3 linked regions of the Rattus norvegicus genome follow. The main gene of each other region encodes a partner of the protein of the gene in region 3 in a complex. Links are inferred from orthologs where the notes say so. Each region holds a gene or a part of one and is shown on either strand. Other genes may lie near its edges. The genes, in order: Dcp1a, Arhgef6 and Map3k5.

Region 1 (3,752 bases), on a different chromosome or scaffold from region 3:
TTTCTCCTGGTGCCAAAAAGAGTTGGAAGCTTGGAACTGACAACCACTCTATAAGATCAATGAATGTGTACGTGAGCAAAGGGCGAACAAACCATAAGCTGTTCCGACTTCTTGCCTCACACGTGTTTCCGAACGGAAAGTCTGCCCTTCCATTAGCAAATGATCTTGGGATGTAAAACCACAAGCAACACAAATATATGGTGGTACTTTGATGGAAATGTAAAGTTTATCCTTTCAAAAACGTTCATTTGTGCCGAGATGTCCTCAATAAAGAAAAACGATGGTTTTTAAAGCAGCTCAATGAAAATAGGCTGAGCACGTTGTTTTACTTTGTAGTACCTGACCCCTTAGGATGCCCAATAATGTTGGCTTTTTAAGAGATCTACTTATTATTTAAGTAATAGGTCTTTCTATATTGCTTTTTTTTTCTTTTTTTCGGAGCTGGGGACCGAACCCAGGGCCTTGTGCTCGCTAGGCAAGCGCTCTACCGCTGAGCTAAATCCCCAACCCCGTAATAGGTCTTTCTAGAACAACAGAAATATTTATTTAGGACCCAGATGAAGGAAAAGACAAGCCAAAGAGGGGAAGCCGAGTACAGTGTAGTTCCAGGCAGGCTAGTTTGGCTGCTTTGAAACATTTCTTTCAAAAATTACCAAACAGTTAAGAGTGAAAGTGCAGCTCGGAAGTAAAGTACAGCTCCCTTTCCTCACTTGGTCTGAGTTTTCTCAATGGTCCATGAAAACCTCACTTCCACAGCAGCAAGCATTTCGATTCAGGGTATGTGCTGGGCTGCGGTCTCACTGGCAGGAGTCTGGAGCACTCAAGGAACAAGTTCAGATCCCGCCAGGTGAGAGAGGAGGACTCCGGAATGTCGGCTCGCCGAAGCTCCACCGCGCAGGCGCGGACGCCTGTACCTTCCGGCAGCCGCAGACCTAAAAAGATCGGAACCAGGCTCCCAGGGCATAGGAGCGGCGGATCAGATTAACTGAAGTACCACCCTCGGCAAGGCAGGTCGGATAGGCGGAAGTGGACGGCTGACTGAGCTGGGGGAACTTTGCCTGGATGGCACTTTCCTGTTCTCCAGTCCGCCCCCGCCCGAGGGGCTCGGCCTGGAGATCCAAGATGGAGTTGTTGAGTCGAGCTGAGCAAGAGATGAGTCTGGCGGCCTTGAAACAACACGACCCCTACATCACCAGCATCGCAGACCTCACGGGCCAGGTCGCCTTGTACACTTTCTGCCCCAAAGCCAACCAGTGGGTGAGTGAGGCCCAGCCGTGGAGAACGCCAGCCTGGCCGCTGCCGCCTCTTAAAGGGACCGCGCAGACAGCTTAGGATTGGGGGTGGGGTGTGGAGCAGAGTAGGACCGCAAAGGCGAGGCCCGAACCTCTCCCAAAGGTCCTTCCAGAGCCGAAGAGATGACGGGGGAAAGGGGAGGGACACGCGGAATTGGAGGAATGAAGGGTAGGAGTACACCAGAGACATAACAGGGAAATCAGATGGAGGACAGGAATGAGGCAGGATCAGTCTTTTTGGGGTCGGTTCTGGAGACTTGAGGTTGCATTGGCAGGATATGAGACAAGTTAATTTTTTTTTCTAACAAGTGATTGAAAACCTGTGTTTGAGACTTTGAAAACTATTAGATAAATCACGTGTTCTTGATTGCAAAATCCACTCCTCTTTCCCTGCCGACCTAAATGTGATGATTTGGATTTGAAGCTTAAAAATCAGTCTCAGGAGTTAGTCCAGCTTTAGCAGAACTGGTATCACCGGAGTTTAAAGAAAGATTTCAAGGCTACTTCAGTAAGAATTGGATTCCTTGGAGACGTTTTTACAAGAAAAAAAAAAAAAAAAGAGACCGGTGATAGGACGTTTGATCGCTCACTTCTTAGTTCTTTTTGGATTTTGTGAGTGGCATGGAGTTCCAGAAATTACATTCACTGACTTTAGTTAACCTCAACTTGAAGCACCTATTTACATGATGTCCTATTTCCTCCTGATGCTAGGCAGACACTGTACTGTTCCTCTACCACTGGGCTATATACCCAACCCAAGTTACAGTTTCTTAATCACATTTTCAGGCGTTTATTTTAAAAACCTACCACATTTGTCTAAGGCAGAGAATGGTTTCTATCCACGAGTCTTAACAAAGTTCTGAAAATATTAAATTGTGTTTGGTCACCACAAAATGTGTAACTCGTGAAAATAGTCCTAAATTCTCCAGAAATGAAACAGTATCTTAGAAGAAAACGTCCCGAGGGTTAGGGATTTAGCTCAGTGCTACACAGCTGTGCATCATGAGGCCCAGGCTCTGAGTTCAACCTGGTATCCCTTTTGAAGAAAGTTTCCATTCTTTTTCTATAAACCTCAATAGACTGCTCAAGTTTGGTTTGGTTTGGTTTTTGGTTTTTTTTTCCAAGTTTTTGGTTTTTTAAGTTGCAGTAGACAATACCTTGACTGGAGTATTAAGATACCTAGTTGAAAGGTTTTAGTGTTTGCAGAGAGAAGCTGGGGCAGAGAAATGGCTCAGTAGTAGCTAAGAGCATTTGGTGCTCTTCCCAAGGACCTGCCTCAATTTCCAGCATCCCCATGATGGTTCAGACCCATCTGTAACTCCAGTTCCAAGACGTCCAGTGCCCTCTCTAAGCTCCACGTACACACATACATGTGTTACAAAGAAATACGTATGCTGACAAAAGAGCCCTACATCTTTTCTAATTGAAAAAAAAATTTAATACATAAAATAAGTAAAGCTAAATCGCTTTTTTTTTCCCTTTAAATGTTCCTCACTGGCAAAAATAGACATGTGCTACAGATGTACACATATTGTTGGGTTGGACATACATAAACACAGGGGTGAACAGATACATAATTTGTTTAGATTTCTTTTAAAAAGTGAATTGCTTTACCTGTTCAAACGTGACTAATTTGGAGGCTAAAGAGACAGCTCAGTGGATGAAGTGCTTGCCTCCCCAGCTTGAGAACCTGAAGTATTCACACAGAAAGCTGGACGTAGTAGCTTGCACTTACGTGTCCTCTGGGGACATGGAGGCGCTTATGACACAACACTGGAGCTCACTGACCAGGAAGTGCAGCTAAATTGCCCATCTTCTGGCCAGTGAGACCCCCTGACTCAAAAGAAGGAATGACGCCTGAGAGTGACCGATGGCCTCTCCAGTTGTACACAAATGCCAGCGTGCATTCCCTTGAGCACATACACGATCGATTTCACAGTAAATAAGACAAGTTGGCCTGAACGTGTAGGTGCTTCACCAAGATCATTTGACCTTGGATTATTCCTGGAAAACTGACAGAGTCGTTGTCTGTTACAGGAGAAGACTGATATAGAAGGGACATTATTTGTATACCGAAGGTAAGTGGCTTAAGGATGTTTCTACTTCACTTGAATGGTGGTGATCGCTGTGGTGGAGCGTGGTCCGTTTCTATCGTGTATGTAGCTTTGGAGCCTTCCTGTTTATCTTCTTCCAGTTTTCCCCCACCCAAGCACTACAGTCCTACTACAGCTGCTGCTCTTCTTCCCATGTTAAAAAGAATGCATACGTACGAATGTCTGCGAATATAGTATAGTACAGTAGCTATAAAGTGATTGAGATAGCACTCTTGCCGGTCTGTAGTTTCTGATGAGAATTTGCCTTCTGTGGCTGGTTCTGCCCCTTTCCTGCCTCTTCCCAAAGTTCTAGGTCATTCCTAATTCATATACATTTTACTTTAAACTTCTCTGAAAATTCTTTTTT
Region 2 (3,652 bases), on a different chromosome or scaffold from region 3:
TAGTGACTAGCTAAATTCTAGTAAACAACAGAGCTTCAGCCCTGAGGAGTTCCCCTACCTGCTTTCTCCCAGTATTCCAGCTTGAACAGAAGTTCACTCTGTACCTCATACTCTGGTGAAACCCCAAACAAACAGAATATCTACCTCAGTGCACATGGAAATACATGGGAGATGTTCATCCCACTTGAGAGATTTTTAAAACAAAGTGGAGTAGGGAATGGGGACAGATGCTACTTACCGCTGCCTTTTCCTCGCTTTGCTGCTCTGGAGTTGTGCTGGGAACGGCTGCCTGTGGGTTTGTCTGAGAGCTGGTCGTAGCACTAAGAGAAGAGGACCGTCCACATGGTCTTTCTGATAGCTGATCTGTGAAGAGAGGAAAACAAATAAATAAATAAAACTTGCAGCAGGAAACCACCTACAGTACACTCTAGCCCAGGACATTGCCGAAGCCATCCTAGTGGCTTCTGGGATACTATCACTCTGAACAGGCTGTGTTTTTAGGCTTCCCCCTCCCTTTTTTCTTTTCAATGGCCAACTTTTTTCTTCTTAACCTTACTGGCCACTGCTGTCCAGTATAATGAAAAACAGCGGCAGAACCACATTTTCTCCTAACCCATTTCCCTACAACTTTCCCTTACGGAACCAGTTGCCACAGTATGTATGCCGTGTTACCCAAGGCAGACCTATATCGGGTACCAAACAGCTGTTTGTGGCTCTTAATACTTTGGAAATATTTCAAATTTCTCTCTTTGTTTGTTGGCTCATAACTTACGGGTTCTTCGCTTACATGTCAAAATATGTGTGGCCCACATAACATAAAGTCTCCCTGGTGTTTTGGGGTGGGGTGGAGAATCAGAATGAGGGAGAGGGTGTGTTTGAGACAGATGCAATCTTGGTGTTAGAATCATTTTGTAAAATCAAACACTGGAGCTTTCTCTTGCTTGATTCTTTGTGAAATTTGATCGGGCCTGGGCTGAGCTGGGTGTTCTCAGCACGCTGAGAGTGTACTGAAGGGAGAGGCTGGCTTCTTGACAAATTCAAATGAGGCTTCTTTCTTTTCCACTTATTTTTAAAAGATATAAACTGCAAAAGTCTAAAGCCCAAACATTCCCTAGGCGACAGGCTCAGCATCGAGTAATCTCCTTGAGGCCGTGGGTTTTTACTTTCACCTCCTTGTATTTTTATAAATATCTGTGGTGAGCGAAGAGACTGTAAAACTTGCTAGAAGAGTTTGGCAAAGAAACGTATAATTTGTGTGGCATAATGTTAGAATTATACCATCCTCCCTTCCCAGAACTGGATACTTGTCATGTGCGTTAAATATAGCTACTTGAATTAGCTGTACTCTCTGCCATACGCCTTGCAATAGCTCAAAAACCATTTTTTTTCCAAATAGCAAAAGAACAACTTCAGAGAAGTATTTTTCCACATCTTGCCATTATCTACAGCTCTTTAGGGTAAAACTATAATTACTTGATGGGTTCCTAGATTCTCCGTCCTACTCGGCACTTGATTACATTGTCTGCTCCGCTCTCTAATTGGTTCACGTGGGTAAGTTGAGTCTCCATAAATAGATGGTAATTTTTTCAAGGGCAGGGCCAGATCTTCTACTTCCTCCTTGGCACCTGGCAGTACTGAGCACAGTCGTGTGGCTCTTAAACCAATCAAGCAGCAGGATTCATGTTTATCATAAAAACTCTGGACAGTTTTATGTGGGTTTGAATCCTAGCTTAGCCATCCAGTTTCTAGTTGGGTAACTGTGGGCCAGGCATTCCTTATCTCTAATGTGGACTTTCCCGTCCCTGTATCCACCATTGGTGTTTGACTGATTCAATGAGACCACTTGGAGCTACTGAGACAGCCAAGACCGATGGAAAGTGCTCAAAGCATTTGAACTCACGATGACTACGACTGATATATTTAAGACATGATGTCACAGAATAAACAGCTTTCTAGTACAGTTTTATCAGTTTCCTCTTTACTCGGATTATACTTAATAATCTGTAATACAGTGGATATGAAATGTTTACATAAGCTACTCTCTATATTCATTGGGGAATCTGAGGTTTCATTCCAAGAGCAAAGCTACTGAAAAGCTCTGCTTTGCGACCTATGGAAAACTACAAGAAAAATATCTCTGGTGGAGAAAGGGAAGTGATGGCTGTTTTTTGTAAACCTTATTTTTTAAGGAGGAACTGGTCTTTCCCTTTTTTGTCTGTCTTGTTATACTCAATTGGCAATCCCAAAGCTTTGCATGAAATCACTTTTGGTTTTTATTGTTATGTTAAGATTATTAGAATTTGATATGTGTGCATTTTTCCTTGTTATTCTGTGATGGGTACATTTGAGTTATACAAATTAAGTATTTTATATTTTTTATAAATTTATTTTGGGGGAGGGAAGAAATTTGCATCATTTGAACAGCTGTGGCCATAGCTAGCTTCTAGAAATATGGATCATAAATCACCAGCATGCCTTACCTTCTGTCGCTTTGTTGACAGCTAGAAGGGTATTCAGAACCTTGGAGAAATTGGCCCCAGAATAGAGGTCATCAGGCTCAAACACCTATTAGAAAGGAAATGTGAAACTGTAAGACACTGTAAGTAATCAACTCAACAAATGAAACTGTGAAAAGGCCCCTTGCTTTAGTATTCAAGAGGGGGAAAATGTACAAGACAAGATGCAAACCTCTGCATACCTTCTGGAAAAACTAGAGCAGCAGCTGAGCTGCCTAATGGCATGTGGCAGCCATCAGTGACTCAGAACAAAACAGCACTGGGATATGAAAGGCAAGCTGAGAAGGTAGCACCCACCAGGAAATTTAAAGCGCATGCTCAGACCCAGTCTCCTGACCTGAACTCCTGACTCTTCAGCCAGTTACACAAAGCCTGTGTGCAGGGGTTCCTGTTACTGCCCAACACCTCCCCAAGGGCCTCAGAAGCCTACAAATACAGAGGCTTTCTGCTTTACCTCTTATTAATTCTCCTTGCCGGTGGCACTGTCACAAGTGCCTGTCTCTCCTCCCCTTCCTCCCTGCTGCTGCCCAACTGCTTAGGATCCCAATGCCACATTGCAGAACTGCTGTCCCAACCTGCCTTTTGCTCGAAGCCTCACTTCCTGTTTTCTGCTGATTGATCTTGCCCTTCTCATCTGTGAACTGCAAGAATCTGACTCTCCATCTGCCTGAGCTTGTGAGTTCTTCCTGGCTTTGGGTGACCTTCCTAGATATGCTGCCAGGCCTTTGGCCAGGTATGGTGGGTCACATCTGTAGTCTTTGCAATTGGGAGGCTGAGGCAGGAGGATTGCCAAAATGTAGGATAGCCTGGCCTACAGAGTGGGTTCCAGGTCAGCCTAGGCTAGAGTGAGACCTGAGTAAAAATAACATCCTCATGACCTTTTTTTTTTTTTTTTTTTGCAATCTGATAGGGAACTGTTCCTACAGAAAGTGCCAATTACCTACTGATATATTCTCTACCTTTCTCTGTCATCACTATCAGTCTCTGTCTCTCTCTATCTCTCTCCTGTGTGTGTGTGTGTGTGCGTGTGTGTGTGTGTGTGTGTGTGTGTGTGTGTGTGTGTGTGTGTGAGAGAGAGAGAGAGAGAGAGAGAGAGAGAGAGAGAGAGAGAGAGAGCGCATGGGAGGACAAATTTG
Region 3 (3,652 bases):
TAATGACAAAGACCTCTCTCTCTATCTATTGATCTATCTGTATCATATATATATATTTATATTTCTTTTACTTATTTTGAAGTAAGTTTATATATAATCTTATTGTTTATAAATATATATGTTTATAAAGAAATAAATATATATGTATATATATGTACACACACATACACACACGATCAGTTATGGCTACATCAGAATAAATGTCAGGGGACTTTTAGTGTAAGGGCCAAAGTTTTGCAAAATTTGCTAAGAACATAGCTTAGTTAAGAATAATCCCTGGGCCAGCGAAATGGCTCGGTGGCAAGTGCGTGCTGCCAATCCTGACACCTTAAGTCCAGGCCCCGAAATTCTCATGGCAGAAGGAGAAGGGCGATCCCTATAGAGTTGGCCTCCGACCGCCGTACCCATGACTGGGCACACACACGGAAGCACACATACATGCTCTAAGTCAGAAATGAAAAGTCATTTTCTTGATTCAGAGCTCTCTGGCTGGCCTGGAGCTCTCTCTGTGTAGTCGCAAACTCTGTGGAGGTGGCCTTCCAATACTCAGAGATTTCAACTGCCTCTGCCTCCTAAGCACTAGGGTTGCGAGCAGGTGCCACCACGGCCAGCAAACGTGGTGATTAAACGAAGAGTCATCAGTTGTTTATGTTAGCGGAGAGTCAGATCATGGGCCTGTCTAAATTATTTGAGATAATTTGCCCTCGAAGCAGTACAATGAAAAAATAGAATTTGGATATTCTTTTGAAATACGGCAGAATCCTAAAAGAAATACACACACTCCCAGATTTCTTACTAATGCCAGATACATGAGGTGTTCCTTCAGTGTGGCTTAGTGGCTGAAAACTGCTCGTGGACACATGCCTTGCGTGTCTGTGTTTCAGTGAATTGTTTTCTAGAGCTAACTCTCTGAAACGTGTGTTTTTTTTCGCCAGCCAGTACTTCCGGGAATCTATACTCAACGACATCAGGAAAGCTCGGAATCTGTACACTGGTAAAGAGTTGGCGGCTGAGCTGGCGAGGATCCGGCAGCGGGTAGACAATATTGAAGTTCTGACGGCAGACATTGTTATCAACCTGTTGCTTTCCTACAGAGATATCCAGGTGAGAGGATACGAGCTGTCTCTCAGATGTCATGCCAGAGGAAGGAAGGCCTGGGGTGTTAGAGTTCAGCTACGTAATAAGTAATCCAGGTTGCTACCTTTCCTCTGTGACTTCATGGCGAGTGGAAGAGACTCGCAGATGCTAACTGTCGGGCTTATGACACGCTCATATTTACCCTTCCTCAAAAGCTGCTCACCTGATCAGCTCTTGGAGGGCTGATCTCCTCGGTGAGCCTCGGGCACACCTGTCAGTCAGCCAATGAGAGCTTTGTTTTGGCAAACAGCAGAGGCTCGTAGATCTCTCTGGATATAGCTTTTACTTCCTGAAACTATGCTACTGAATCTGATGGTGCCAAGAGCAAGAAATATGCAACCAAGTCCTCGTAAAGAAGTGGCGGACCCACGGACGTATGGCATCATTTCTTCTGCTGGGTCGTAGCCTTTTTTTAAGATCCAGCAAGTAGACTAAAACTCTCTCAGTGAGGGGTGTGACGTTAGAGTTGTATCATAAAATCCAGGTAACTCCTGGCTTCTGGTTCCTGTACCAGCCTCTTGGTCCTGTGTAAAACTTCACCCATCAGAGAGACTCAGTACATGGAGAACCATGGTAGCTAGCAGCCTGCGGCTAGAGGAAACTCACTTAACGTGACCTGCAGTCATCTTGCTTCACTTACCACAGTATTTCAGTCAGTTGCCTTATGACCTTCAAACTTTTAATGTCCTTGGTGGAATCATTTTATGGTTCTTGATGGAAGCCTGCAGAACAGGAGCTACGTGAAAAGAGCCAGTCACATGACTGTGGCTTATTTGTTTTGTTTCTTTGGATTTTATCACATCCCATAACTTTATTTTTTCATACCTTAATCCGTGTAATAGGAATTTAGGAGAAACACGGCTGTTGCTTCTAGGGTTTTCAAAGGTCTCAACAGATTGGTTTTTTTCCTAACACAATACTTTTACTGATTATTTGGGAATTTCACATCATATACCACAATCACTCACTTCCTAATCCTCCCAGGTCCATACCTCCTGCCTCTGGATCTCCCCTCCTCCCCCCATAAAAGAAGAAAAAGAAAAAACAGATACTAAGTCCAACTTGTGTATACTCGCCAGAGCATGGTCAAACTCCCAGTGGCCAACCCCTTAAAGAAAACTGAGTCCTTCCCCACCCCCGCCCCTACCGGGAGCCACTCAGCATCCTTATCAGAACTCTTAAGAGCTCTCTTAAATGGCTTCCTGTGTAGACTGTTTGCTGCGTGCGCATGTGCATGCGCGTGTTGTGTGTGTGTGTGTGTGTGTGTGTGTGTGTGTATGTGTGTGTCGATGGCGGGTTGCTGCAGACGCCTTCTATGCCCCTCAACAATTCTAACTTTGCCGTTAGTCCCTTTCTCAGCATTAGATGCCTGGCTGTCTTGTCGGAGATTTCTCCTCAGGGTTTAATTCTGTTCTGTTCATTTTGTTGAAAGGACTATGACTCCATAGTGAAGCTGGTAGAGACCTTAGAAAAACTACCGACCTTCGATCTGGCCTCGCACCACCACGTGAAGTTTCATTATGCCTTTGCACTGAACAGGTAAGATATTCCCTCCTGGGATGGCTCCGACATGACAGTTCAGCTCTTACCAATGTCCCTGTGGCTTCCCAGCAGCTCCCATATCTACCACAGCCCATGCGAAGTAGTGCAAGCCTTCTGATCTCTCTCTGGTTTTGTTTGTTTGTGGACGGGGTCTCACTGTATATCTCAGGCTGGCTTGAGTTTTTAATCCTCCTACGTCTGTCTTTTGATGGCTGTTGTTTTTACCAGCCTGTGTGTGTGTGTGTGTGTGTGTGTCTGTGTGTATCTGTGTGTGCCCGCATGCGAGAGTCCTTTGTCTCTCTGTTAGTAAAAGCCTGTCATGGTATTTGTAGTTACAATTTTTTTATAATTCTTTTTTTTTCCTGTGACAGAGCTTGTGTTTGTTATTTATATCTTATAACATTCAATATTTTATCAATATTATACTACTTTTAAGCAAATATAGTTTTCCTTGGGTGTTTGTTAAAAATGTGTTCCAAACTCTTTAAGGGTACTCAGATCCAAGGATGTTCAAGTCCTTATAGATTGGTACAGGATTTCGTATAACAACCAAACATTCTTTATATATTTAAGCATTCTCTATATTTATATATATTTGTATCTCTAGATAACTATGATATCTAACATACTATCATGCTGTGTGGATGGTTGTTAGTTTGTTCTGTTCAGGGGAAAAATCTGTGCAGGTTCAGTATAGACATTTCCCTAATTATTCTCAATGCGTATTTGATTGAGCCCTGGGCTGAGAATTCACAACCTCACTATCATCTGGCCCTTCACATACTGACTCATTGAAGTATGAGGATAGTTTTGAGGAAGTGAATGTTTTTCTCATCCAGAGACAGTTACCCCCAGGACTGCTGTGAGCAGGATTAGTTATGACCGGAACTCTGCCGGTGACATTTTAAATTACGTGTCCATGAGCCTGTCTGAGTCACTTTTGACAGAGCTTGTCTTAGTCCCCCTGCCCCTC

The links.
Region 1: Map3k5 (region 3) and Dcp1a share a complex: the UniProt entries of both Homo sapiens proteins name them as parts of the cytoplasmic complex. The link is inferred for Rattus norvegicus from reciprocal best matches to the Homo sapiens genes MAP3K5 and DCP1A.
Region 2: Map3k5 (region 3) and Arhgef6 share a complex: the UniProt entries of both Homo sapiens proteins name them as parts of the cytoplasmic complex. The link is inferred for Rattus norvegicus from reciprocal best matches to the Homo sapiens genes MAP3K5 and ARHGEF6.

What each region holds. Positions count from the first base shown.
Region 1 is NC_086034.1:5,662,340-5,666,091, forward strand, and holds the start of Dcp1a (mRNA-decapping enzyme 1A), read left to right. Parts: upstream 1-1,097; 5' UTR 1,098-1,122; coding exon 1,123-1,257; intron 1,258-3,329; coding exon 3,330-3,370; intron 3,371-3,752. UniProt on the Homo sapiens protein: Necessary for the degradation of mRNAs, both in normal mRNA turnover and in nonsense-mediated mRNA decay. Removes the 7-methyl guanine cap structure from mRNA molecules, yielding a 5'-phosphorylated mRNA fragment and 7m-GDP.
Region 2 is NC_086039.1:140,259,942-140,263,593, forward strand, and holds part of Arhgef6 (rho guanine nucleotide exchange factor 6), read right to left. Parts: intron 3,027-3,652; exon of another isoform or gene 2,971-3,026; intron 2,566-2,970; coding exon 2,481-2,565; intron 364-2,480; coding exon 239-363; intron 1-238. UniProt on the Homo sapiens protein: Acts as a RAC1 guanine nucleotide exchange factor (GEF).
Region 3 is NC_086019.1:16,582,411-16,586,062, forward strand, and holds part of Map3k5 (mitogen-activated protein kinase kinase kinase 5), read left to right. Parts: intron 1-935; coding exon 936-1,104; intron 1,105-2,569; coding exon 2,570-2,676; intron 2,677-3,652. UniProt on the Homo sapiens protein: Serine/threonine kinase which acts as an essential component of the MAP kinase signal transduction pathway. Plays an important role in the cascades of cellular responses evoked by changes in the environment.